Linked DNA regions of Mytilus edulis. The main gene of each other region encodes a partner of the protein of the gene in region 3 in a complex. Links are inferred from orthologs where the notes say so. Each region holds a gene or a part of one and is shown on either strand. Other genes may lie near its edges. The genes, in order: RNA-binding motif protein, X-linked 2-like; pleiotropic regulator 1-like; SNW domain-containing protein 1-like; E3 ubiquitin-protein ligase RNF113A-like.

Region 1 (7,710 bases), about 59 Mb from region 3:
TTATGTAATAAGTTACGATTATTTGAAAATGCTTATTAAACAGTCAAATGGGTGCACAAAAGTAAAAATATGAGTCACAGATCCGATTGAATACAATTATCTATCCAATTTTATTGATTTTGTAACATTTGTTTCAAATATGACCAACTTTTTATCCAAAATCACCAGCATCGTATCAGGACCCACTAGCACAATGACAGGACCCACCAGCACAATATCATGACATGAATAAAGAGAGAAAATGCAAAATTTTAATAAATTACAAGGGGTTTTCACAAAATAATTTTGTCGTGTGGATTTGGATATAAATGGCGGACTCCAGGAGCATTTTTGTTTTATTTTTTCATTTCTAGATTTTCTGAAAATTAGTATGTTTGTATTACGCTCACTGAAACAGCTTGAATGGTCACATTTCTAATGGTTGCCTTGAACCCATAAAAAAAAATAAAAAAATAAAAAAATCTCAACTGTTTCCTTCCATTCTTTATGAGAAAAAAACGTCAAAAATCATAATATTCGTCTTTGTTTACATATTTTCGATGCATGATCACAAGCACCGGTCAGGACCGAAATAACAGCACAGACCGTTTTCTCGCAGGACAACTTTACCCACCGTGAAATTGGTACTGCAGTAAGTTTTAAAAGAGTAACATACACGAATAGATTGTCCTTCGGTGATGTATGCAGTTGTTGGCTTTGCAAACAGGCTTGGCGTCTTCGGATTGGGTATGCCTTGAGCAGCAGTAAGACCTCTGTAAAATCAAACTTAATAAAGATTGTATACAAGATAAGTCGCAAAAGAGTGAATGTATTTCATTAAACTTTTAACATTAAAATACTCTAAAACTCTAAAACAGAATTAGTCCAATAAAGAGTTTACTGGTGAGTCTTGGTGGTTCTGATAATCTTAATATAGACATCAATCTCTAAAATATATATGTTGTATATACATTATGTACACAGCCATGTATCACCATCATTGATGGCGATCCGATGGATACATCTGTTGTAGAGTTGTCACTGACTCAGACGTACTTATAAATATAATTATTTTCTGTGACTGTATATTACATTAATTTGTAGGATCCTTTACAATAGATAATTTAGCTGATCTGTAACAATAACATCTTCATGCCTTCTATATCATGTACTGTAGTACGCCGCTAGATTAAAACTGACGAGGAAAGGTAACAAACGGCCAGCGAAAGCTTTTTTTTTTGAGAGCCCAGGTGGTCGTGTGGTCTAGCGGGACGGCTGCAGTGCAGGCGATTTGGTGTCACGATATCACAGTAGCATGGGTTCGAATCCCGGCGAGGGAAGAACCAAAAATTTGCGAAAGCAAATTTACAGATCTAACATTGTTGGGTTGATGTTTAGACGAGTTGTATATATATACATCTATCTTTACACCTTATACATTATATATCAGTATTGTTAAAACTTTTGCACCGAAGAAGGCCATTTGTTGAGCCGAAATATTTGCAATTATTGTATAATTTATATCATCTGTTCAGTTTTTCCATCTTTGTGCGAGACTCATATAATTTTTCCTGTTTGTGTAGTATTGTCAATTTTGATGATCCAATACCTATTAAGTTTACTGGTTGGTAGATTCTTATAGACTCTCTCTCTCTCTCTCTCTCTCTCTCTCTCTCTCTCTCTCTCTCTCTCTCTCTCTCTCTCTCTATATATATATATATATATATATACATATGTAAGTTAAGTTTCAAAGCGATATTTACCCCTTTCCGCTTTAAATACCTTCTTCTTCTTAGATATAGTAGTTAAACTCAATAACGAGTACTCATTACTTGTGCGTTACGTAGATGTCTATTTACAATAAAAGATCAAGGATCAAAAAAGAAAATATGGTGCATGCTGTACAGTTGGTGCAGGATAAAAAAAACATTCCATCATCTCGGTAACCAGTATCTTGAAAGCTTCGATCACTTTCGATTCCGGTAATTTATTCCAGGCTATTACCTTTCTTGGAAAGAATGAGAATTTGTAGTAATCATGTCTTGGGTTGAAGATGGTGTATGTCATGGTATTGTAGTGTCTTGATGTTCTATTTAGTGGGATGAGGTAAGTATCTGTTGGAACTGCTACTAGCTCATTTACAATTTTGTAAAATATGCATAATCTGATGTTTACTCTTCGTTGGTAGAGAGGTATCAAGTTAAGCTTGCTTATCATGCTTGTGACACTCGATTGGTTACTGTAGTCGTTGAAAATATAGCGAGCCGCTCTATTTTGTCAATATTTTCTTGCGTATAGGGATCCCATATGGCTGCGCTATACTCCATTGGTCTTATAAGTGCGTTGACAGCATTGGTTTTTGTTTGTTGTGGAGCTTTTTTGATGTTTCTGCTAAGCATCCCTTGTGCTTGGTTTGCACTGGCTACAATGTTGTGTATGTGTAGGTTCCAGCTAAGGTAATTTTTGATGGTAATTCCCAAGTATTTCGTGTCTGTGACTGCTTCTAGTTGTTTCCCATGATGCATGTAATAGGGTTCTTTTATGGGGGGGTTTTAGATCTTGTTAGGTGCATCACGTTGCATTTGCTGACATTAAATTCCATTTTCCATTTCTGTTCCCGTTTCGTCAAGGTAGTCATCTCTTTTTGAAGGATGGCTTGATCTTTGGTAGTTATAATTTGCCGGTAGATGGCGCAATCATCAACAAACAGACGAATTGTTGACTGTATATCATCAGTGATGTCATTGATGAAGATAAGGAAAAGGACAGGTCCAAGTACACTGCCTTGGGATACTCAAGATGTTACTCCCACTTTGTCTGAATACTTATTTTCCAGTACAACTGCCTGTGTTCTGTTGTCTAAAAATGCTGTGATCCATTTGTGATTTTCCCTCTTATCCCATAGTGTCTGAGCTTGTGTAGCATGCGTGGATGGCTGACTTTATCAAATGCCTTTGCAAAGTCCTGGACTATCATATCTGTTTGTGTCGATAAAACAGATACGCAAAATCTTGCTATCTGCAGGTGTTTTTTCTTTTACAATTCCTTCAATCGATCTCTGATGTGGTCTAAAAAGGTTAGCTACCTGATATTTGTTCATCTGATTTTGTTCAATTATTTTAAATGAATAAAACATATAAAAAAAATCATTTTTGCATCAGAATAAAATTGACCAAATATGAGAAATTTGATAACCTTTATGGTCCTTTGTCTCATCTGTGGAGTGGGTACATCAAATAACTGACAAACGTATACTTATGATTTTATAGAGTAGAAGGTAATACTAACTTGTAGTTTCGGCAGACTGCGACTATTTTCTTCCCAATTTCTCTAAATTGTTTCAATCTTTCAGCCATTTCGAAGGCCAACTAACATACATATATATATGAACTCGTAAATTTGTGCTTTATACCTTTCTCAAATCAACTATAAATTATACGTATTATCAATGTAAACTTTGATTCTGTTATCTCATCTTAAATACTTTTGTTTGCTTAAAAGCACCGTTTGTCCGTTGATATCTTCAATCACGATTTCAGTATAACTTGTGTAGTTATAGTAAAAATAATAATGGTCTGATTTCTCTAAATACTTTGGGGTTACTAGCTAAGTCTTCTTGGTATGTCGTCCGTGTTATTATGCTTATTATCATTACCATCTAAAGTCATAAGTAGACCTTAAAATAGAGCTGTCAGAACATTTTAATAATGGTTTCTCCGTGTCTCTTTTCAGCTAATGCACAGAGTTAACTGTTTATTCTGCCGCTAGATAAAATGTCTATTTTTATCTAATGTGAAATGTGGGATTTATATTCCACTATACTAGATGAATATCTCTTTTAAGCTAGTGTGGAGTGCGAGCTGTATATTCCACTGCTAGATGAGTGTCTCTTTTAGTTATTATGGAGTGCGAGCTGTATATTCCACTACTAGATGAGTGTCTCTTTTAGTTATTATGGAGTGCGAGCTGTATATTCCACTACTAGATGAGTGTCTCTTTTAGTTATTATGAAGTATATTCCACCATTAGATGAATCGTTGTCCTTGTTAGATCTTCTTGGCAATCATTTAATTGATAAAAATACAAATTGTGCAGATAGTCTCCTTACGTACAATGTTTACTAGGTCGATTCAATTATGTTATTAGTTTTACTGGGGAAAAATTGTTATTAAAATTAAATATAGCCTCATTTGAAAACTTTCTTTTTAAAGTCAGTCGGATAGAAATATAACAAAATTTGGGAAAACGATATGTTTTCTGCTATGAAAGAAAAGTAAAGAAAAGTAAATTACGTACTATACATAAATAAGAAAAAAAAAAATATACTGACTTAAAATATAAAAACCGGGCCATAGATGGGAACGGTAAAATATGAATACTTTATAATGTTATAGCAGAGACATGTATAATATGTCTCTATTTATACCAAGTAAGTATTTGTTTGATGATGAGACGAAGTTGGGGCGAGTAGTTTTCGGGGCCAAACTTTGATTTACACGATGGTTTTAAATCTGAGGGCAAAATAAAAAGTTTTACCTTCATCTTCCCTTTCTTGAATTCAACAAAAAAAGCTGAATAATGCACAACAAAAGTAAAAACCAGCAAAACTTGTCATTTATAAAGGTTGAGTATTAGTTAGATGACATGATGATATATCATTTGTGGCGAATGTATTTTGGGGCGAAAATGACAAGCTGAAACTCTTCTTTAAGAAGGGCTGAAAAAGGTATAAAAAGCAAAATGTTTTTCTGGTTTCGTTGTCTTGCTGTTTGATCAGTTTTAGCAACTCTACGTGACATTGGAAAGATATATTGATTAGTTAGCAATAGGACATGAATCCTCTCACGTAAATATTCTGCTTAAATTATATGAATGGAACACGATTTTTATTTTTCACAAAAATTACCTGATCACAGGCACTTGTCTCAGAAAAAATTTCCTATATACCTTATTATAACACAAAGTACTTAACTTGCATTTTAGAAAAATGTCAGGTGGTGACGAAGTACCGTTATATGCCGCTTTATAGGCTGTCAACCCCGCTAAAACTTGTTATATCGTAAATTAGTCCGAGATTACTCTGACGTCCAACGGCTGTTTTGCCAGACAAGCTGGGGCCGTGGGACGTCAGAGCTCGTCTTATATCAAAAAGTGGATATTTGCCCACCCAAAATAGATGCGCTGCTTCGTCGCTTCTGCTGCCGACTGACGGCCTTGGAATTATATAAATCGGGCATCAATCTGTTCATTTTTCATAAATTATCTCTTCATTTATGTAAGTTTCACTTACCTGCCAACCTTTATTTTCTCATTAGTAGACAGTTTTCACAGTGACCCATCGATTTCGGCATTTTGAATTTCACTTTTATTTATTAAGTTATTAAAGTGTTTGCTCTCACTGTTAAATCTGGCAGGTTTTTCCATTAATCCTTTTAAGATAAGATAAGATAAGAAAACTTTATTTTGATTCGGCATGAGTACAAATAAGCAACACAAGCTCTAAGGAGCTTTTGACCGAATATAAAAACATATAAATAACATAAAAACAGTGCATTTTGACATATAAAACAACCTGTAATACAAAGTTGAATCTCACATACATAGCATGCAATAAAAATAATCAACAAATTTAGAATGAAGTAAAAACATGCTTGACCAGAGCAACCAAAAGCAGCATAAATAATAAAACAGTTTAAGAATTATCTGCAAGCAGAACAGTGACATTCCAAACCGTTCCAGGACTGAACAAGACTTTTAAAATGTGAAAAACTGTTTTCAGTCCTGAAATGGTTTGGAAGACTGTTCCATAAAGTAGCAGCAGCAAATTTGAACGATTTTTTACCGTAACGGGTTGACTTTACCTGTGGAATTTCAAGAATATTTACATACCTGAAAGAATATTTAGATTTTTTGACATTCACCAAATTTTGTAAGCACACAGGAGCGATGTTGTTTATAATTTTAAAAGTTTCTAGAGCCATTGTTCTTATCCGTCTGATCTGCAAGGAAGGCACCTTAGCTTTAAGTAAGAGGTCCTCGTAGGAGCTGGTAAAATCCTCATAAACAAAACGGAGTGCTCTTTCCTGCACCTTTTCTAGTTTTTTGGAATTTTTCTCAGTGCAAAAATGCCATGCCAAAGGGCAAAAATTAAAATTACTAAGAATAAAAGTATGAAATATAGTAAGTTTACTAAGTCTATCCAAAAATGAGCCTAAACGTTTTAAAACATTTAATTGCTGTGATGCCTTCCTACAGATTGAGCTGACATGAACATCAAAATTTAGCTGGTAGTCTATTTCAATGCCTAATAATTTTACTGTTTTTTCACATGTGAGGTTCGAATTTTGAATATGTATAGATGGGTTCTTTTCAAAGGTCTTTTTGCCAACAGCCAAAACTTTTAATTGAAAAATGTCTTACACTTTTTCTTTAAAAAGTCTTGAAAGCGGATTCATGATCAGGTTATATGTCAGTAATCACTGTAATGTACATTAGTAACATCAACAGAATCTGAACTTGTTATAGTCTTGACACCGATAGGAACAGAAAACAATAAATCATTCAATATCAGAATGTAAAAAACATAAGAAGGACTCCCATTTTAACCTTAAGGTTGACAAAATAAGACATATTTTCAAATTTATATATATATACATGTATATTAAATTGATATTAATGCAATCCTAGTGGCAAACATACATGTATACTGCAAAAGCAGACATTTTCGTGAAGGATTTAACTTCGTTTGTTTCGTGGAAAGAATATATCAACAAAACTAAATCCCCCACGAAAATTTAACCTACATATAATATCACTTCGATTTTCTTGGAAACCATGAAAAGTTAAATCCCAATGAAATCTTGTATATATGCACAAAACTACGAAATTTAAACCCCATGAAAAGTAATGATTTCACAGTATGTCAAATTCATTCAATACTCACAATATAAGTCGGACTCTAAATATAAGATAATTATCTGTTTGTAAGCATCAGCTATAGCTAAGACAAGTTAAAGCCCAATAGAGGTAAAGAAATTATCTCCCTTTAGTAATTTTAAATGAAATATAGTTTTGAATTTTAACCATGCATTTATAATTTTTAACCATTTCCAGGTGAACAAATTGGCCTATACTCCAAGTAAATTTTGTGGTGTAAACAGACTGGTGTAAACAGACTGGGGAATTAATTAGCAGATAAGAAATTCTGTGATTTAGAGTTTATCAAAATTTCAAATATACAAATGTAGTTTAGATGTTAAGATAGTTTCATTATATTAGTAAAATTGAAAAAAAAACACCTTTTGCTGCTAAGATACAATATTCATCTGTAAATTCTTGATTTGCTGAATAAAAAAAATGCTATAGTATAATGAAGGCTTTAAATAATGATGATATATTTCCAAGTCCAAAATTTGAGAAATAATGTGGTGCATTTGGAAAAAAAAACAACTTAAAAGAGTGATATAATTTAAGAAATAAAGTTATAATATACTTTAACAAGTGATTTTTTTTGTAATTATTCAAGATTCAGTACCAGATTATCATTACCTGTCTTCTATATAAACACAGATGTTAGTTCGAATAATGTCCCAAGATCAATATATACATTTGTATTTAAAGCTACAGTAACATTAAAAAAAAAAAATAGTCTAGTGATTTATAGGTACTTCTTACATGTATATAGATGATTACAAAAAAAGAGTTAAGACCATGAAGACTGGACAAAATGTT
Region 2 (7,871 bases), on a different chromosome or scaffold from region 3:
GTTTCTATTCAAACTGATGTCTAACATATTAGCACGATGAAGAGCTTGTTGTCTGTTGCTTGGCAATGGCTGTCTTGGCACTCGGAACGGCAACGGTGCTACCCAACTTCCTTCCGAGTCTCTTACAAATTCGTTGTCCATCTGCTTCATGAACATTTTGTCCTCATATGACTGTCCAGGCTTGTCATCGTCTCTTGTTTTTTCAAAGAGTGGCGATTGTAGGTCTTTCGTTACAGGGTCTGTGTAGTTTTCCCGGATGTCAAACTTGCTTGTGCATGGTTGAAAGGTTGAAGGTTGTCCTGTAGGCAAAATGTTGGTTATTTTGACATTTAACTCAAGAGGAACATGCTGCTTGTTAATGCAGGTTTCTCCTATCACTACCCAACCAAGTTTCAATTGTTGTGCATATGGAGTTCTGGGTGGTCCTATGCGCTGATCGAGGACATGGTGTGCCTCTATAAGGTCTCTGCCAATTAAGAGAAGAATTTGGCAATTTTCCTCTATTGGTGGAATGCTACCTCTAAGTTCTTTTAAATGAGGGTGATGCATTGTTACTTCAGGAGTAGGTATTTCGTCCCTATTATTGGGAATATGATCACATTCAATCAGTACAGGAAGGTCAAACTTGTCATTACCATTGATTGATTCCATGACGAAACCTCTTCCTCTTTTGCCGGAAGTGACTACTTTGCCGGAGCATGTTGATAAAGTATAGTTTTCCGGTTTATCTTTGACGTCGAAAAGATTGAAGAATTCGGGCGATGCTAGTGACCGGTTGCTTTGGTCATCAATGATGGCGTACATGCGAATAACTTTGTACTGGTTATCTTTGTGATAAACATTCACAGGAAGTATTTTAGCACAAGATTTCCCACTATATGTATCTTTGCAGACCTCAGTACAGGTAGAGTTAACTGAGGTTGCCTTAGTTTCAGCCGATTCTATAGGCTCCCCGCCGTAGGCTTGCTTAGGCGAGCTAGACTGCGAACTTGTAGGTTGCTGTGGTCTAGTGATGTGAAGTGCGGTAGTGTGTTGTTTACTTCCACATTCTTTACAACTTATGCTTGCATTGCAATCCCGGCTTCTATGTGTGGTAGAATCACAACACTTGTAACATACATTGTTTTCTTTCAAAAGACCTTTGCGCTCCTCTATTGACTTGGCTCGGAACGCTCGACATTCATTTAAGGAATGCTTTGTATTGTGCAGAATACAAAGACCTTGTTTGCTGGCGTCTCTAGATTGCTGCTCAACTGCTGTTTTATGAGCACCAACTTTAGTCCTAGGGTAAGGCGTAGACCTTGGCGCAGCACCTTTTGTATTTGGTGTGGCTTTTGACCCAAAGATGAACCCAGGATCGTTCTTTGTTTTGCTGATTTCCCTGATGTAGGCAGAGAATTCTGTGAAAGGTGGAAAGGCAACGTCATATTTAGCCTTGTATCTTGTAGCCCTTGTGGTCCACTTTTCTTGGAGTCCGTACGGTAATTTTTCAACAATAGGATTTATCCCGGACGAGGAGTCAAAATATGCTAGCAAACATCCCAGCTTGGGATTTTCCTTGTGATATTCTATTTCTGATAGAATGTCAGACAGTTCGTAGAGACGTGCGTTGTCCTTATTTGTTAAGGTAGGGAATTTTTCAAGTTTACTCTTGAGAGAGGCTTCCAACATTTCTGGAGCACCATACCGCTCGTCAAGCCTCTTCCATAATCTCTGTATACCTATGGTAGGATTATTAGCGTTCGACGCTCTTATGCTAATGGCGTGTTTAGCAGACTCTGGACCGAGCCACTTGATCAGTAAATCGATCTGTTCTGAGTCAGAGACTTGTAACTCATCAGTCACGTTCTTGAAGCTTGCTTTCCAAGTATGAAATGACTCTGCCCGATCGTTAAAGCTTGTTAATCGGGAGAAAAGCAAGTCCTTGCGTAAAAGGAATCTAGTTATCTCTGATGTAAAGTTGATTTGTTGCTGGTGTGCAACAGGGATCTCTTCTACTATGCCTTGTTTTTGGTGTGAAACAGGGATCTCTTCTATAAAGTCTTGTTTTATGCGTAAGACAGGGATCGCTTCTTTAACACCCTGTTTTTGATGTTCAGTAGGGCTCTCATCTGAAAGACCTAATTTTTGTATGCCGGTTACTAATCCCAGATCTGGGATAAAGGTAACTTCCGGTGACTTAGTATCGGAAGGTAAGACAGCAGATGTCTGTGACAGCAAGTTCAGTGCCGCGGACGGCACGAACGCTGGTGCTTCGTGGCTCAGCTCAATTTTAACAGGAAATTGCTTTTTCTTTTGAGGTGCTGTTACTTCCTTTACAGCTGTTGATACAGGAAGTTTGTTGACAAAATCTTGCACACGCTGGAGCGGGTCTTCCTTTTCGTCAGGGAGATCGCTAAACGCTTGACTGTCATCGTATTCCAGAATACGAGCCTCGGCTTCTGCGGCTGCAGCCTCTCTGCGTGCTTCTAGAAGGTTTAACTTGGCCTTCAGCTCGACCTTTTCACGGCTTACACGTGCAGCCTCTTGTTTGATTTGTGCTTTTCTGCGTATGGCCTCTTGTTCTGCCTCATGTTCCATTTTAGCATTTGAACGTGCGGCTTCTTGTTCCATTTCGGCCTTTTTAAGTGTGGCTTCCTGTTCAATTATAGCTCTTTTGCGTGCAGCTTCCTGGTCCATCTCAGACTTTTTGTGTGCTGCTTCTTGTTCAAATATAGCTCTTTTGCGTGCAGCTTCCTGGTCCATCTCAGACTTTTTGCGTGCCGCTTCCTGTTCCATTTCAGATTGTCTGAACAGGGCTTGTTCCTCTAACATTGCCTCTTGTTGTAGGATAAGTGAATGTTGTTCAACAAAGGCTATTTTTGATTTAGCGGCCTCTGCTTTGGCACGCTTCCTCCGTGCTAGACTTGACATGCCTGACACGTTAGAGCTACCGCTGTGTGAGGTTTTCTTACCCTTTGAGCCTGAGGTCCTTGTTTTAGTTGATTTAGCCTTAGTAAGGGCAAGGCGATGCTCGTGTAGAGATTCCATGGCCAGTTCCACTTTGGACAGACGAAGATCCAATGTGAGGTTACATGCGTCTATGTCTTTTTGACTGTCCAACGTTCTGGTCCTTTTTAGGAAGTCCAGATATTCGTCTGTGAGCCTACGATAGTTTGTACAGGCTTTTACAAGATTGTCCTGAATTGTTAAGACTTGCTGAAGTTCATTGGGAGGTGTGGTGATTTCCAATAACTGGGTTGTTATATCTGACCAAAGGGCCTCTAGTTCCTCACAGAACTTGTTACGTTTTTCTGTGTAGGCTCCTTTACCTTTTTCGGTAAGATCCCGTACTCGCCTAGTCTCGGGATTTTCATCTAAATGTGTGGTATTAGACGGATTTTGTAATAGTTCTAGATCTGGGACATTTCCCTCTGGGGGCTGTATCTCTTCTTGTTGTTCCACATGACTGGGATCCATGTTGACTCAACGTTGTTGGGTTGCTGCTTAGTACACACAAGTTATGTAGTCCACTGTCAGTGTAAAGGTATGAACGTTGTTAGGTTGTCGTTCCTTGTCTGGATATGTAAAGACAGGTTGTCGTCAATTTACTATGCTGAGCCTGACTCAGCTAGTATAACCATGGGACTGTATCGCAATCTCGGCAAATTATAAAGAATAACAACTTGTGTTTGAAGATTGTAGATTATAATTCCACCAGAAATGACACAGGAGTTTTTACAGAGCGTGTATTGTTTGGTAAACTGAAAGAAATAAAAATACAATATTTACAATATGTACGAAAGAAATATATGAATGTTCAATGCAGTAATAATATCAAGTCAAAAACGAAAGTAGAATTCTCAGGTCAATTCATAGAAATAAACAATTACAGTTCGTATTTGTTGAATAAACGTGGAATTCAAGTTAACGGAATTAACGGTATATATATTTAACAGTTTATAATCGATTTGAAACGTACTTGACGGTGATTTGTCACAATATCCACAGGAGCAGATTTGTCGTGGCATCCATTTGCAATAGACAGGTGAGGAAGAGAAAGTAAACGGTAGTGAAAATACGGATAAGTCCAGATTATTTCCGGAAAATATGAATGTCTGAAAATTCAATCCAATAAACTTTATAGTAAATATAGTTGCGTATGTGATCCAGAATACTCCTGACTTGGAAATAGGCACATACAGAATGTGACTGCGTCAACTTAAGCATGCTAGTTGGTGTCCAATCCTCCCCTAATCAGGGACAGTGGTGTAATAGTACAGCATAAAGATTATTATGTGGTCATTGAATAAAAAAAATCTATAGGGTGTACCAATGCTTTTTTTATAACAAAATACATACTATAAGTTATTGTACAAGTAATAAGTGAATTATAATTTGTACCAAATGCTACATGTTCACAGACAACGGAATTTATTACAAAGGATAATAATAATATATACTGGAATGGTCCTGGATCCAATTGATTTTAATATGTTTACTGAAATTCTTCTGCAAATACTGCAGGGCCACCCGATATTACCAGTAGAAAGACCCCAATAGATATACATTGTAAGAAGATGTGGTAAGCGTGCAAATGGGACTATTATCCATTCAAATCACAATTTTCAATTATCTTCAATTTCTACGGAAGATTTGCTGTCAAAATGCTAACATTCGAATTTTCAATAACAGTTAACAGCAAATAGATTCTCACAATAACAGATAACAAAATAGATAATAGTCCTATAACAACTAACAAAGAATAAGACAATAACAGCTAACAGTAAATATATTTATAATTTAGGGTACGTTGTTATGTATGTTTATTTTTCAGGAAACATATTATGTTATTCTTTCTTGGTTCTAATCGATATGAACCCCACTAGACTTGCAGCTGCCGGCAACTATTTATTAATCAACAGTTATCTCCCTTATACAGAAGCCGTGCAAACAACGTTTTTTTTGGGTTATTTTCTAGTGTACCTATCTAAGAAAAATCAGCATGGTAGAGGTAATATAAATAGAAAATATTATATACAGTAAATGACCATAAGTGTTCGTCACCAGGATCGCCTGTAGTTGGTGATCGCAATACTGGTATTAAAATTTTGTATTCCAGTATCGTACCAGTATTGTGGTTTTTTTTTTAAATAAACAATACACGGCCAACAATACATATGAGACAATATCTGAAAAAGTATAATTTTTGGCAATAAGAAAAAAAAAATGTCTTTAGACCTGGTATTTTAATAGCACAAATCAAAGAACACACCTTGAGGATCTAGATACCGTGTTGTCTGTAATTCAGACAATTCTTATTGTGGTAACAATGGCATTTTTAAAAATGGTACAAAAAAAATCCAGTTCTTAAAAATCCTCTCTTTTAGCACTTTGATATTCCACTGTTACATTACACACTAAAAACAAAACCCAAACAATATGCTGATATGGGAAAGGTAACATCATACCTGCCAACTTTTCAAAATGCCCATGGGGGTTTTATGGAATCCGGGTCCGTCTGCCCTGATTCTGGTTCGCCCTAGTGTCTGTTTGCCCTAATACCTGTTCGCCCTGAGTCCGTTCGCCCTGAGTCCGTTCGCCCTGATTTTTTTTTATAGTATAGTGTTGCGTTGTGTGTATATAATTGAATGTGTTGAGGTCAGTCTACAATTTGGACGAATATTTACGATGATCATGTTGTTTATAGCTAGCTGCTACTGGGACTAGGTTATAAGTTTCTGTATATTTCAGGACTACAAGATATTGTGACTTCAAGGTATTGCCTTGAGAAGTAAGTTTGTATCTATGTTATTACCATGATTACGTTACTAGGAAATATTCAATAACAGTTATAACAAGATCAATTCCGAACTGTACTTCGCACACCTTTATTTCCTAAACGAATATTTAAAAGCACTTATTTGAATTACTATTAGTGAAACAAATACCAAAAACACAGTCACACTGCTGTACATTGATCACTTGTCATCAGTGTTTTTACCCATCCAAGCTGACTATTTTATTTGAGAAAAATGTTATTTTCATTATTAATCCATCAAACATGTCAAAGACAATTCAAATAACAATCAGTGATATCAAAGATTTCAAATGATACCTTATCAGCAATCAAAATGCAATCAACAGTAATTAAAAGTAATTATAAAATAAAGTGTAACAATGCAGCCAAGAATTTTATTTAATTAATATAAATTTGGCAAATATTCTGTTATTTTCTTTTACATTGTAATAGATATACATAAATTTCAATATATATATATATAGAATGTTGTAATTTATTCCAATGAAGAAGGCCGTAATGGCCGAAACATATGGGAATTTGTGTTATAGTTTTTATTATATATATATATATATATTTCATTCATTAATGTAACATATACATATCATGAATGAATATAGGGCGAACGAACCCAGGGCGAACGAACCCAGGGCGAACAAACTCAGTGCGAACGAACCTAGGGCGAACATGTAATTAGGGCGAACGATCCTGATACCGGTTTTATGTGCAAGTGTAAATCAAAATATTGTCCTATGAAATGTTGTACCACAAGACAATATTTCATAACTATGTATTATGAAATATTGTCCTCGTCTATGGAAAAATGTCCTGAGAATGACAAATTTTCATAGTGAAATTTTGTCTGTATGTAGAAAAGAATCCATGACAAATCGCCCCACTTTTTCACAAACTTGCCCCACTTTCTAAAAAAATCGCCCCACTCTTGTTAACCAACTCGCCCCACTTATGAAAAAGGATAAAAAGGTTTCCTTTTAAGTGTTATACAAAAAACTAAGCTTACAAGTATAAAGTTATTCTCCAATAATGATACAAACACATTTTTATACGACCGCAAAATTTGAAAAATTTTTCGTCGTATATTGCTATCACGTTGGCGTCGTCGTCGTCCTGCGTCCGAATACTTTTAGTTTTCGCACTCTAACTTTAGTAAAAGTGAATGGAAATCTATGAAATTTTAACACAAGGTTTATGACCACAAAAGGAAGGTTGGCATTGATTTTGGGAGTTTTGGTCCCAACATTTTAGGAATTAGGGGCCAAAAAGGGCCCAAATAAGCATTTTCTTGGTTTTCGCACTATAACTTTAGTTTAAGTTAATAGAAATCTATGAAATTTTGACACAAGGTTTATGACCACAAAAGAACGGTTGGGATTGATTTTGGGAGTTTTGGTTTCAACAGTTTAGGAATTAGGGGCCAAAAAAGTGCCCAAATAAGCATTATTCTTGGTTTTCGCACAATAACTTTAGTTTAAGTAAATAGAAATCAATGAAATTTAAACACAATGTTAATGACTACAAAAGGAAGGTTGGTATTGATTTTGGGAGTTTAGGTCCCAACAGTTTAGGAATTAGGGGCCAAAAAGGGACCCAAATAAGCATTTTTCTTGGTTTTCGCACCATAACGCTTGTATAAGTAAATAGAAATCTATGAAATTTAAACACAAGGTTTATGACCATAAAAGGAAGGTTGGTATTGATTTTGGGAGTTTTGGTCCCAACAGAATAAGGGGCCCAAAGGGTCCAAAATTAAACTTTGTTTGATTTCATCAAAATTGAATAATTGGGGTTCTTTGATATGCCGAATCTAACTGTCATGACTGTGTATGTAGATTCTTAACCTTTGGTCCCGTTTTCAAATTGGTCTACATTAAGGTCCAAAGGGTCCAAAATTAAACTTAGTTTGATTTTGACAAAGAATGAATCAGTTAGGTTCTTTGATATGCTGAATCTAAAAATGTACTTAGATTCTTGATTATTGGCCCAGTTTTCAAGTTGGTCCAAATCGGGGTCCAAAATTAAACTTTGTTTGATTTCATCAAAAATTGAAGAAATGGGGTTCTTTGATATACCA
Region 3 (7,030 bases):
TCTTTGTTAGGTAATTTACAGTCTTAAGTGCTTATGAAAATATATGCTCTGATGATACAAAATAATATAAATTAAAAACCAATTGTTCAGAGAACAATTGAAGGTCTTTCCACAATAAATTAATTTGAAATAATTGTTGAAAAGAAGGTACGGTACATTTGTAGTTCCTGTTAACTGAAAGTTAAAAATGGCATCCAATCATAAGTTTCTTCATACTGATTGAATAAATAATGGTTTTCTATATACTTTGATGGGAAATAAGGGAGATAATGTGCTACTTCCGGTGAAGTAAATGTCACTTCCAGTCTCATATGATAGCTTCTTTCACACTGATTCCAAAAATATATAGTTTCTAATACTTTTGTTTGTAAACCAGGAATAATTGACCACTTCCCGCTTATCAAAAGTCAGTTTAAGTTTTAAGTGATAAGAAAAGGTATCAAAATTACAAAATATATGGATTCAGAGTAATTTTTCATGAAAAAGTGCAAAAAAGGTTACTTCCGGTTTTTTTCAATGTCACTTCCGGTTGTCAATTTTCAAGGTCATATGTCACCCAACCTTTTGTTAAAGGTCATTTGGCTTTATAATGAACCAAGTTGAAGTAATAATCAATTAACCTTATAATTAGACATTTCAGGGGCACTAATTCTTATAAGATGCCATGAGATTGTATCAGACCAAATGTAACATATCTTCATTACCATAAAGCAATCATTATGCACTTGTTCTTTTATTCATATCTTTTAAAGTGTTGGAGAAAATGCAAAAACAAGGAAAAGTCACAATTGAGAACTTGACCTTGACCTTTCTAAGTAAGGACGTAGGGGCCTCAAATAAAAACTTTCCAGGGTTATAGGGTAAATGGTTTATAAGTTAATAACACATACCGACAAATTTATTTCGTAAAGGTAGATAACTCATATAAAAGTTCATCGAATCGCTTCGATTCAAATTAGCTAAAAATTCCTGAGGCTGTAACGAACAATTTGTAAAAGAAATTTTGTCAATATCTTTTTTTGTTACGAAGGAGATGCACTCTGATGATAAACAGTGAATAGGGAGATAACTCTTACAAAGAAAATGGTTCAGTTTAGCAGGGTGAAATTTAAAAGCACATAAACTATACGATACAATATGAGAAATATCTAAGCGACATATTGCGAAACAAACATTTATCGCAAGAACAAAATTTGGCTGGAACAAAAATAAATAATCAGAACAAATACAATAGTTCTTTCCACAGAAAAGTGGAAAGACCTAATTAAACAACTGTGATTTTAATTCTAACCAATATTTGATTAAAATACCTACTGTAAAAGCTGCACGTCCAAATCTTACTACTCCAATGGTAGAAACCTCCCAATCATTTTTATACAGAAAATAGCCTGACCCTGTTCCTAGTCCTCCAACAGTCAGATATTTCAAGGTTTTCTTGAGGAGGTGTCTACTCATTCTACACGATCTGAAAAAAATAAGTCCCAAGTCAAAATTGTATTTTAGTGGATATTCAGTGGTTGTATATGTTGTAGTTGGTTGGTGTTTATCATATTTGGTTATTAGTTTTTAGGAGAGCTGTGTTGTAGTGGTTAGCGCATCAGAATACTAACACAAAGGTTCCTGGTTCAATCCCCATTCTAGAGATAATTTCAGAGACTCATTGTACATACTACAAGGCTGCACTCACACCTGCAAAGTGGAAAGGGATTAATATAAGTTGCAATAACTTGTTTCCAAATGTAAATAAATATGTTTAAACTAATATTTTTTTTTTCTTTTTCAATGAAATATTGTTTTGTACCTTAATTAGGCTGTTCCCATTTGAATAGTTTTTACATTGTTATGTCAGTACTTTTCTACTTTCTAAGCTACATAGCTATATGTTATGGGTTTTGCTCATTGTTGAAGGCCATACAGTGATCTATAGTTGCTTACATCTATGTCTTTTGGTTTGTTTAGGATAGTTGTCTCGTCAGTTATCATTTCACATCTTATTGTTATGATGCATTAGATAATTATATTTCATATGAACAAAATGATAATTTTTTTTTTTGCTCAAATGCACAGGTCTTAGATGAGCTAAAGTTAAAAAATCTCTATATATACAATGTCATTTGCAACTTATGGGATGGTTCAAGACATTTAATACAGTCTGTGCCAAAAACTTTTTCATCTACTAGTCCGGAAACTAAATATGAAAACTTGTACCTATATGACTATATAAAATTTTGAAAATTTCCACTAGTCCGAATCAATATTTACTAGTCTGGGGCATCAGACTAGTGGCTAACGACGCAGACTGAGACAATCAAGGCAATTCACTGTTTGAATGGTTTTACACTAGTAATTTTGGGGCCCTTTATAGCTTGTTGTTCGGTGTGAGCCAAGGCTCTGTAATGAAGGCCATACATTGACCTTTAATGGTTTACTTTTATAAATTGTTATTTGGATTGAGAGTTGTCTCATTGGCACTCACATCACATCTTCATATATCTATCTAATGATTGAAACTGGTAACTGTCATTAGTGCTATTGATTAATTCGATGTTTAAAAGCACATTGTCACAAATTAGGTAACAGATTCAACTGTCACTCAGTGTCCAAACTCAGATTTCAAACTGATTTCATACTAAAACATGTTAATCAAAAGTCAAGGATATGAAATGTATTTAAAAAACCAAAATATAAAATAAATTATTCAACACAAGAAATTAAAGTCCATTTTAAATGGAAAATTATACAAAAAGCATCTTTTAGGTAAGTCACATCCAATCAAAAATGTGTTGATTGGTCACTCATTGAATATTTTTCTCTATATATGAATTCTTCGATTAGTTATTCTATAGTTATTGCAACAGTAAATTTACGGTAAAATTGCACTTAATTTATTTCGAAAATCGTGTCGATATCTGATACATGTATGTAAATATATTTTCAAAACCACTCTGGCAGTGTCTAGTGCGAAATGACCTAGGGCGAAGCAATTCATTTCAAAATGACCTGGAGCCTAGCTTCTCAGTGGGAACAGAAACCAAGGTGAAAGGACAATACACCTTATCACTAATCCCGGCTGACCCGGCCATTTGAACTTTTGACGCATACAACAATCACTTTTCCATTGTGGCGTCAGATATTTTGTTTTATGACGTCAAAATTTTACGGGAACCTGTGTGATATTCATTAATGGCAGATAAATAGCGATAAGATGTATGTATACAGTCGTTCTATTTTTTTCACTCATATTTTGATCTGTTGACAAACTGAATCATTTATTCCTAAAATTGTGTTGATGTTATTTGTTAAAAAATACAGTGATTTTTTTTCTTCATCTAAATGAAGACTCTTTTAAGGGGGTCTCAATGGGGGATTCTGATCCCAGATCCCGCTTACTGTTTTGTCAGATTCCCATATCCCGCTTACACTATGTACGTAAGCAATTCTCACTTTTTGGAATTTCCCATGTACCGCCAGATTTCATTTCCCGTTTTCATGGCACAATAATTTGACACGTGTCATGCTTACAAAAAATCAGCAATCCCACTTCACGCTAAGACCCCAATGAGACCCACTGTTTATGCAATGCCAATGACAGTCCAAATAATTATGAAGCCTTGAAAGGCTAGCGCCCTAGCGTAAGGCGTCAAAGAAAAAAAACTATAATAGCCTGTCGAATTAAGGCGTCAAAGAAAAAAATTATAATAGCCTTTCAAGACGTCATAATTATTTGGACTATGGATCACTATGCAAATGAATCAATGAACATAAAAATATAACAAAGTCAAAGGTCAAATCTGAAGCTGATTCAAGAACTGTCTTGAATTTCTCATTGAAATATCTTCGAAATTGGGTCCAATAGCTTGCTATTTATAGTATGATACAGGTTCGGGATATATAAATTTTGAAGTGACAAAATAAACGTCAGTGTCCATACCCTTGTCTTTCTTAGTTCTAGATCGTCTGTTTCATAATCCTCAATCCTCATGATCATTTACACACAACGAACGAAAAGTCATAGTGAATTCCGAATGAGTGACTGACTTTTTCGTTGTTTTCGAAAAGAAGGTAAAGGGAGGGAATAAATACGTAATATCGACAAACAAGATGGCGATGAAACTTGTGGAGTAAGTTCCAAATTGTTTTTACAATATACATCTAATAATGGTCAATACAATTATCGCAAAATGTCAAATAAATAAAAAGTTAACCAAATTTTGTAAAAATCTGCACTTTCAGGCCCTACTCAGCTCCAAACTAATAAAACACGCGACAGAACCGGTCTTTGAACATTACGAGGGTCTGAATGGGTGATGAGCGGTACTTTATTTTATGTGTATTCTTAAAATTAACAACCTTTTTTTTTGTTACCTTCAAAATTGCGCTTATTTCATATAATCCACACTTGCTAATAACTTTATTTTTTTCTCATATACATAAGGGGGACGCATAGCCAATTATTCGTCTTCGTAGGCTCTTCGGTTTTAAAAGCTCTGCAGAGTTTATTTTTGTACAGTTGTACTTGTAATGCATCTATACCGACTCTAATTAAAGTTTTATGTCTTATGTCTAGGCTACGTGTACCCACCTTGGGTTTTATAATTTAATGTCATCAGATTCAGAATAATAATACACCTTATTGCTTATCCCGGCTGACCCGGCCGCTTGAACTTTTGATGTCAACAACAATCACTTTTCCATTGTGGCGTCAGATATTTTGCTTTATGACGTCAAAATTTTACGGTAACCTGTGTGATATCCAGTAATGGCGGACAAATGGCGATAAGGTGTATTAGAATAAAGGAATAGTTTTTTGAATATTGGAAATTTGATCCATTAACCCACTGAGCCAAAGAATCGATTCCCCAGCTCAGTTGATTAACCCTTTCAACGCTACACAAAGAAATAGAAAAATGGCTGCTGCTGCTGCATTTTTTTGTGACTTGTGTTCATTCATTAGAACAGTATATTTCTTTTCAGACTGCTGTATCTTTTTTATTATAAGAGATACAGAGAAAGTTATTGTATGAAAAATGCTCAGGAGAGTATGAACTGTAATGTTAGGCAGTTATTTCAGTAAAATTTTTATCAGGTTACCTGCATTTTCAGGTAATTACCAGGTAAAAGGTGTAATTTATTACATTTGTGTTGAATTTTGAATAAAAAACTAATTTCGTCTTCATCTATTTTGTTGTTTTATCTGCCATATAATAAAGAAGACACCAATTGCTCGATTCCGTAGCGTATTGCACCATACACAAGGTATTATGTAATCGTGGCACAAATCAGTGGCTCCGTCCTCAAAATTTTCAGTCAACCTCCGTTTTCCCCCCTTTTTCTACGTCTCGTAATGATCGATCAATTCATATTTCCTACACAAATTTATTGTAATAAACACATTGAGATAACAAGAAACCTTTTAACTAATCCTCGTTGTCAGTTTCACCATAGAAATGCTGAAATATATCCATATTTACAGCTTCGTTTTCCAATTTACGCCATTTGCATATTTGTCAAAATATTTGTTTTTATTGTCCTCCAATTTTCCTTCTACTGCATGATTTTACAATAAAAATTGCCGGGATTTCAAGGGCAAATAAAACCTTGCATATCCTCGATTCATACAAGAAAAAAATTTAAAAATTGGGGCATGGGCAGCCTGCCCCCCTTTTCATGGGAAAAAATTTGTTGATTATATAGGGAAACACTGAAGCATGACTGGAGTGCCCCCCTTTAGGTCAGTCAGCAGGCACTCCCTTTAAGGTCAGTCAGCAGCCCCCCCATTGGGAGGTGAGGGGACACATTGATCTCAATTGACCCATTTATCAAATGTAAGGTGGCATACAACTGTAAGCTGGTCATTGAATCATTGCCCTAGTATATATACTGATTTCAGATTTATGATTGATACACAAATCAGTTATACATGTGACTGTGTATGACAGTCATGACAGTCACTGTTATTTTGCCTTCAAATGATTTATGTCAAAAAAAAAAGATGTGGTATGATTCCAAATAAGACAATTCTTTAGAGACAGAAAGCACAGAAATTGACTACAGTCACCATACAGCCTTCAACAATGAGCAAAGCCCATACTGCATAGTTAGCTAGAAACGGCTCTCAAATGACAAATGTAAAACAATTCAAATAGAAAACTACATGTAACTGCTTTATTTATGTAAACAAAAATAAAAATGAATGTAACAGATTTCCTGACGGATATAAGTTTAAATTCATTTGTTTTCAAGTGTTTAAAAAAATAATTGGGTGCTCTTTTCCCTACAATTGTTGCTTCTTTCTATTAGGCCATACAAAATAAAATGTTTGTTTGCCCTAACCTTACCTACCCAGAAAATATCTGCATACTCAAAATCTTTTACTGAACATTCTGATATGCATGAAGAGTAAAAGACATCTGACACTTCAATTTCTCTTTGCCAAAAATAAGAAAAGAAAATGCCTTCCTACCAACTTCCTACTGTTTTTACCTTTAGGTAGGGTTTGGGCAAACCAAAATATTTTTTAAGTGTGGCCTAACAGTAAAAGAACATCTTTATTTAAACTTATTTTCATTTCAGTATATTGCCTTCACCGGTGCAAAGATATGACAGAGAAGATGAAGATAGGTCATTTAGACAACAAATGCAGGTACAAACAAGGAACACATTCATCATAGAAAATCAGATTCACATGGCTTATATTGTTAGATAAGTTGTAAATGAAATATTGATTTGACTGTGCCTTCTGAGTTTCTTATATATTTTATTCAAATGAAATTTGAAACAGTCAGAGCTCCAGATAAGCTGCGTATTTGCGTGATCACGCAATACAAATAATAAAAAACCCAATGCAATTGCCCATTGCAGGGTTCAATAACCCAATTAATTCAAAGGAAAACCCATTATATTCCAAAACCATGAGTTCTCCACCCTTTTATTGGCAACCATTTGCGTTGTTTACCCTTATCTGTTTACAGTCGTCGTGTAAACTATTTTTATTTTTTATAATATTTATAATTGGAAATTTCCTTTCTTT
Region 4 (7,228 bases), on a different chromosome or scaffold from region 3:
TTTACAATTTGCAAATCTACAAGTACTTGAATACAATTGGTCTTTTAGCATTTCGACTGCCATTTTGATTTTTCCATAGACCATGTTACCAAAACTATTTTTATTTTGCATTTTGTCTTTTAGATATACATAAGTGTGTTGTACATGCATATGTATGTGATAAATATTTATGTTTTATATGTGCTTTGAGTGTTTCAAATGTGCTGTGTACTTTAGATGTGCATGATGAAAATGGCAATGCATGTTGTCTTATAGATGTGCTTCAAAAATTTTATTCTTGCTCTATACAATTGCTAAATTTGCTTTGTATGTGATACATCATCTTCGTTAGCCAAGGGTTATGATCCACTCCCTTTCTCTTCACCCTTGGTGGATTGAGATAAAATTTTGGAGACACAAGGTAAGGATTTTTATTGGTCATGTTGGTTGCAGTCGAAACTCGCTGCATCCAATCAAAAAGCACCTATAACATGATCACATGTAAATGAAGAAAGTGTTTGTAAACAAATGCCACGTGTTTATTGTGCAACAAGTCTTAACATTCTATAAACATACGACTATATTTAGTGACAACTTTAATGTTTTTGTTCAATTGGTAGAAGTTCCTGTGTATGTTTCATGCACAAATGCATGAATGTTGATGTATATTTTTGTTTCTGGCTTTATCAAGTGTGTAGAATCTAGACGCTACCATGTTTTTACCTCCAAATTGAAGAGTTCAAGTGCTACCATTAGTCAAGAATAATGTATTCGGAATGGGCGTGACTTTAATCTTCCGATAGATGGCGCAACATTGTTTTTACAAATGTTGGCTTAATCTGCCAAGTGCCAAGGGTGAAGAGAACATGGAGAAAGGGAGTGGATCGTAACCCTTAGCTAGCGAAGATGGTGATACATTGATATGTGTGAATTTAATATGCAATTTATGTGTTTTAAATGTGCATCATCCTCTGTAACATCAATAAATAAATAAATTATAAATATTACTGAATGATAAAAGCAGTGATATGTTTTTTTCCATCTGCTGGAACATTAATATATTTGTAAACCTAATGTTTTCTTTATTAAAAATTGCAGATAAGTCACATTGTCGACAATCATCAGAAACAGAAACATGATCAGATACATATATATAAACTCATCATAGATACATGTACCAGGACTAAATTTAGTATATATGCAGCTATACTTCATTTACTTACAGTTTCTTAAGAATTGTAAAAAAAATTAAAAAAGAACATACTAATGTAATGTTTATTGGTCGTTAAGGTTACAGTTGAGTAGAATCTTAGCTTAGAAATGCATGGTTTACGCTAGAAAAAGAGTTAGGCAGATTTAGATGTTTGGCGGGAAAATCAGTTGTCGGGTCGAAAGTTATAGGGGTGGTCGTAAGGGACTCTATGATTTCCTCTATGCTCCGTAAGGGTAACATTTAGAGAACACCCCTATCAAGTAAATAGTGGTATCGACCACAGGTATATAAGAGAGTGAGAAACAGCACTCGAGGCTGTCGGTTGGCTGTCGATGAGCTGTCATCCTTCAACTGAGCGTACTTCGGATATTTTAAGTGCTAGAAGGGCCTTGGTATTCAGAGTATACTTTGTACTGGGTACAAAGTGGAAGTACATGTTGACATAGCAGACTGTCCCACTGTCTGGTAGTGAAAGACTGTCCCACTCGGAGGACAACTTGTACCAGCCCGCACTGTCTGGTATTGACAGACTGTCCCACTCGGAGGACAGGCTGTACCAGCACACACTGTCTGATACAGACAGACTGTACCAGCCATACTGTCTTTTAGTGACACTGTGTCACATCGTCCCATCTTGAGGACAGGCTGTTTTATTGTATTATATTTGTATATATATATAATTGTCCGTTGTTACTTTATATCGGCAAAGAGTCCGTGTGTATATTTTAGTTCATTGTGCATAATATATAGATAGTTGTAGTTTTTAGTATTACCATATTGTTTGTGGACAATTGGATCCAAGTATTTACTGGAACGGACGTTTGAGATATAAACGCCTAGTTACACGTTACACTAACATTAGCATGATTAGTAATACACATATATTGATAAAAAATTAAACAATTAGTGAAGTAAGAATAAGTCTTCTTGTAGAATGTTAGGTCTTTTCTATACACGTCACGTATCTCCTTTCAGGTCAAGAATTTAGCATCAAATCTTTTTTTTTATTTCAAACATTTTATTTTTATATCATGTCATGCATGTGGATCTTTACCTTTAATAAAATTTGCAAAAACTTACTAGTCCGAATGAAATTTTACTAGTCTGGGGCATCAGACTAGTGGCTAACCGTGCAGACTGCAACACAAAAAAAACGTTGTCTCAATTTATTTTTGAGACAATGACAACAAATTGTACTTAAAGGAATACACTTGCCAAAACTTGAAACCATTAAGAATGTGCGCGAATGTGTAAGGTGCAGATGGACTTTTAGTGGTAACGTGTACGTAGGGTGTGGAAGTGAAATTTGCAAACAAGACTGGGCGCGAACGTGACTGGGCGCGAACAGACCTGGATTCCTCCTACACCCCCCCCCCTATATAGCCCCTGTGATTGTGCCACATTTATAGTATTAATAGTAATACGTGTTGCCATGCCTTATTAAAAATGTACCTCGGTCAACGCTTTTGAACCACATGGAATTTACAACAAGAAGCGTTCAATTTCATAATATCTGGTCTTGTTTATCATGTGATATACATGGACGTCTGAAAAACGTCAAAATAAAAAACCATACTTGTTTTGTTCAAAATGGCTGTCTGATCTCGAAATTAATTCATTTTCCTAACACAATGAGCACATATTAAAAATGTATGTTATACCATCAGATTCAGATGTTTTCCGTTTCCTAGTGGGCTGATTTTTCCTGCTTTTCTTAAAAAATACGCAGGATTTTTGTGATGATCCATCGTCCGACATTTTGGACTATTTTCCGACGCGTAAAAATAACGAACTCTGCGATTGGAATATAAATGAACGAAAACTTCAGTGTCCAATCAAATTACACGTTATAGATATTGCTTCTATTTTCCGCATAAACAACAACAAATACACGTGGTAAAAAAGGTAAAATTTGTATATTGAAAATCAAAGTATAAACAGGAGCAAATAGGGAGATATATTGTTCCAAGGCCTACTATATTTACCTTGGACAAATGCAAAAAGTTCCCAAAAATTCAAAACCTTGTAAAAGAATGTTTTAGTTTAGTTTAAACATGTATTTCATAGATTTATTTACAGGTGATAGAGAAGCAAGTTTTGCAACTTATATTAATCCTTTTCCACTTTTCCTGTGCGTGTGCTGCCTTGTACAAAATGTAGCAGCATTAGCCTGCTCTATTTCAAAATATGCAAGGGTGTCTTTAACTTGCAAGAGATGAACACGCCCGGTCAGCCATTTATCATCCCCTTTTGACAGACTATCCTCGTTTCCTCAAGACCATACTAGAAAATGATGCCAAGGGAGAGCCCTAAATAGATGTATTTACACTTGTATGCAAATTGTCCGCCATTACGTAAAATCACACAGGTTCCCGTAAACTTTGACATCATAATTCAAAATATTTGACGTCACAATTTAAAAGTGATTGTTGCTTGACGTCAGAAGGTGATTCGGAGTTGATCTAAGGTCATTCGGAGGCAAGATTCAGCTAAATACCAAAAGTGTAAATACGTTTATTCACAAGCGCTTGGGTATAGGATACAGATATTTTTTTGTTGTTGATTCAAATATTCAATTTTCTATATTTATAATACATATCTATCACTACTGTACATGTCTCATTTCTAATGACTTAAACGACTCAGAGAAAATACCTAATTTTACTATCTATACTAATTCAGTCCCTGAAATTTTCATCACGGAACAGGATTCAAACCAGGAACTTTTGTGTTAGCATGGTTAGTAGTCTGATGCACTATAACCACTACGGCAATGGCTCTCATCAAGAATGTTTTAAACATTGTTGTTTATATAAGCAGTAAACAGGTAAAGGAATTAAAATATCCCTAAATTTCCAAAGGCACTTGGGACAATACATTTTTTGCCGTCCCCCTTATTTACAAAATCGTTATTTTATTATAAAGTCTATTTAATAAAAACAAGAAATGAGAAACACTTATGAATTTCCACATCAATAACCACTGAACAACAGGAGTTAGTTTCACAAAAAAATTTACGACTAAGATGTATCCTAATTATACTGAATTGTTTACTACTTTCGATCAATCATAATCATAAGTTTTTTGTGTAACCGACTCCAGGTCCGGGACTTAGGACAGGTGCAAACAAATGCAGCACATTTGTAAAATATGTTTCAAACAGTTTTATGAGTTACATGTATATATTTTTCAGTTTCAAAAATGGATTTAGAAAATGTTTGTGTGGTTTTACCTGCCGGTGGATGTGGTGTAAGAATGGAAATGGACACACCTAAACAATATTGCAAAGTCCTAAACAGACCTCTTATACTCTACACAATACATAGTTTTCATAGGTAAATGTTTGTGCTATGTTAGAATGGAAATAAGTACACCAAAACAACACTGTAAATTACTAAACAGACCTCTATTACAATACACAGATTTCATAGATACAATGTATATGTAAAAATGGAAATGCATGGACATTCCAAATATTGTAAAAGATTTCTTATGTACTCAGATTTTCCCCAGCATGAATTTAGACAAACCGATGAATATTTGAATGGTTAATTAAAGTTAGGAATTTTGGCAAGCCATGAGGATTAGCATTGAAGAAGTTGAATATCTCCAAATTTTACCTTACAAACGCAAGCTATGAATTTGAAGCATTTTAAAATTCTTCAAGGTGAACATGCATACATGATCATAGGGGTGTAATCATACATTCATGGTCTCAAAAAAGTTTGTGGCCAATGGAAAGCCTTTTTTTTAAGAAGAAAACTAATGACAACGCTACACATGGCTACAGTTACATCCAATGATCTAAACCTTTCCATTTCTAGAATTTTTAATAAACTCTTAATCTAAAAAATTCTCTGTTTTCAATGAATTATGTGCTGTTTAAATTTCAGTCTTTTTTCCCAATTTTCAGACTAAGCTGGATAAAAATGATTGTCGTTGTGGTTGATGAGAGTTATCTGGAGTTCATGCAGAATTTACTAACAAAATATAAATTTACTAAAGTGAAGTTAGTTACTGGATCTCCAACAAGACACAGATCAATTTATAATGGTGTCAAAGCACTGGAAACAGGTACATTTTATGTTGCATAACTTGATTTTTTAAATGAATGTATGAATGAATCTGTTTTCTCCATGTTTATGAAGATTTTGCATACAAAAAAAAGCATTTAGAAAAAAAGTGCTTATTAACACAAAAAAACAAAATATCATACAATTTGAAATCAGTTGAGATATGTACACAATAACAGAGCACTTTATCATGTTTATGGGAAATATAAAAAAGAAGACAAATAGGAACAAGTTTTAATCAATCAACGTTTATTTAAAACTAAAAGTCACATAAGGGTCTTCAGTAACATTGAAAACTAGAGGCTCTAAAGAGCCTGTGTCGCTCACCTTGGTCTATGTGAATACTAAACAAAGGACACAGATGGATTCAAGACAAAATTGTGGTTTGGTGATGGTGATGTGTTTGTAGATATTACTTTACTGAACATTCTTGCTGCTTACAATTATCTCTATCTATAATGAACTTGACCCAGTAGTTACAGTGGAAAATGTTAGTAAAATTTTACAAATTTTGTGAAAATTGTTAAAAAAAAATGACTATATAAAGGGCAATAACTCCTTAGGGGTCAATTGACCATTTTGGTCATGTTGACTTCTTTTTAGGTCTTACTTTGCTGTACATTATTGCCGTTTACAGTTTATCTCTATCTATAATAATATTCAAGATAATAACCAAAAACAGCAAAATTTCCTTAAAATTACCATTTCAGGGGCAGCAACCCAACAACGGAATGTCCGATTCATCTGAAAATTTCAGGGCAGATAGATCTTGACGTGATGAACAATATTACCCCTGTTAGATTTGCTCTAAATGCTTTGGTTTTTGAGTTATAAGCCAAAAACTGCATTTTACCCCTATGTTCTATTTTTAGGCGTGGCGGCCATCTTGGTTAGTTGGCCGGGTCACCGGACACATTTTTTAAACTAGAAACCCCAATGATGATTGTGGCTAAGTCTGGATTAATTTGGCCCAGTAGTTTCAGAGGAGAAGATTTTTGTAAAAGATTACTAAGATTTACGAAAAATGGTTAAAAATTGACTATAAAGAGCAATAACTCCTAAATTGGTCAACTGACCATTTTGGTCATGTTGACTTTTTTGTAAATCTTACTTTGCTGAACATTATTGCTGTTTACAGTTTATCTCTATCTATAATAATATTCAAGATAATAACCAAAAACAGTAAAATTTCCTTAAAATTACCAATTCAGGGGCAGCAACCCAACAACAGGTTGTCCGATTCATCTGAAAATTTCAGGGCAGATAGATTTTGACCGGATTAACAATTTTATTCCATGTCAGATTTGCTCTAAATGCTTTGGTTTTTGAGTTATAAGCGAAAAACTGCATTTTACCCCCATGTTCTATTTTTAGCCATGGCGGCCATTTTGGTTGGTTGACCGGGTCACCAGACACATTTTTAAAACTAGATACCCCAATGATGATTGTGGCCATGTTTGGTTTAATTTGGCCCAGTAGTTTCAGAGGAGAAGATTTTTCTAAAAGATGACTAAGATTTACGAAAAATGGTTAAAAATTGACTATAAAGGCCAATAACTCCTAAAGTGGTCAACTGACCATTTTGATCATGTGGACTTATTTGTAGATCTTACTTTGTTGAACATTATTGCTGTTTACAGTTTATCTCTATCTATAATAATATTCAAGATAATAACCAAAAACAGCAAAATTTCCTTAAAATTACCATTTCAGGGGCAGCAACCCAACAACGAAATGTCCGATTCAACTGAAAATTTCAGGGCAGATAGATCTTGACCTGTTGAACAATATTACCCCATGTCAGATTTGCTCTAAATGCTTTGGTTTTTGAGTTATAAGCCAAAAACTGCATTTTACCCCTATGTTCTATTTTTAGCCATGGCGGCCATCTTGGTTGGTTGGCCGGGTCACCGGACACATTTTTTAAACTAGATACCCCAATGATGATTGTGGCCAAGTTTGG

The links.
Region 1: SNW domain-containing protein 1-like (region 3) and RNA-binding motif protein, X-linked 2-like share a complex: the UniProt entries of both Homo sapiens proteins name them as parts of the minor spliceosome. The link is inferred for Mytilus edulis from reciprocal best matches to the Homo sapiens genes SNW1 and RBMX2.
Region 2: SNW domain-containing protein 1-like (region 3) and pleiotropic regulator 1-like share a complex: the UniProt entries of both Homo sapiens proteins name them as parts of the minor spliceosome. The link is inferred for Mytilus edulis from reciprocal best matches to the Homo sapiens genes SNW1 and PLRG1.
Region 4: SNW domain-containing protein 1-like (region 3) and E3 ubiquitin-protein ligase RNF113A-like share a complex: the UniProt entries of both Homo sapiens proteins name them as parts of the minor spliceosome. The link is inferred for Mytilus edulis from reciprocal best matches to the Homo sapiens genes SNW1 and RNF113A.

The regions. Positions count from the first base shown.
Region 1 is NC_092346.1:77,143,085-77,150,794, reverse strand, and holds the start of RNA-binding motif protein, X-linked 2-like, read left to right. Parts: upstream 1-4,685; 5' UTR 4,686-4,811; coding exon 4,812-4,825; intron 4,826-7,710. Other genes in the region: oxaloacetate tautomerase FAHD1, mitochondrial-like, read right to left, coding at 656-752, 3,268-3,335. UniProt on the Homo sapiens protein: Involved in pre-mRNA splicing as component of the activated spliceosome. As a component of the minor spliceosome, involved in the splicing of U12-type introns in pre-mRNAs.
Region 2 is NC_092351.1:69,143,410-69,151,280, forward strand, and holds the start of pleiotropic regulator 1-like, read left to right. Parts: upstream 1-4,860; 5' UTR 4,861-4,984; coding exon 4,985-4,993; intron 4,994-7,871. Other genes in the region: uncharacterized protein, read right to left, coding at 1-3,459. UniProt on the Homo sapiens protein: Involved in pre-mRNA splicing as component of the spliceosome. Component of the PRP19-CDC5L complex that forms an integral part of the spliceosome and is required for activating pre-mRNA splicing.
Region 3 is NC_092346.1:18,106,696-18,113,725, reverse strand, and holds the start of SNW domain-containing protein 1-like, read left to right. Parts: upstream 1-4,017; 5' UTR 4,018-4,101; coding exon 4,102-4,121; intron 4,122-6,573; coding exon 6,574-6,643; intron 6,644-7,030. Other genes in the region: aarF domain-containing protein kinase 1-like, read right to left, coding at 1,315-1,455. UniProt on the Homo sapiens protein: Involved in pre-mRNA splicing as component of the spliceosome. As a component of the minor spliceosome, involved in the splicing of U12-type introns in pre-mRNAs.
Region 4 is NC_092345.1:33,823,216-33,830,443, reverse strand, and holds the start of E3 ubiquitin-protein ligase RNF113A-like, read right to left. Parts: upstream 3,006-7,228; 5' UTR 2,951-3,005; coding exon 2,854-2,950; intron 1-2,853. Other genes in the region: D-ribitol-5-phosphate cytidylyltransferase-like, read left to right, coding at 4,394-4,527, 5,106-5,266. UniProt on the Homo sapiens protein: Required for pre-mRNA splicing as component of the spliceosome. As a component of the minor spliceosome, involved in the splicing of U12-type introns in pre-mRNAs. E3 ubiquitin-protein ligase that catalyzes the transfer of ubiquitin onto target proteins.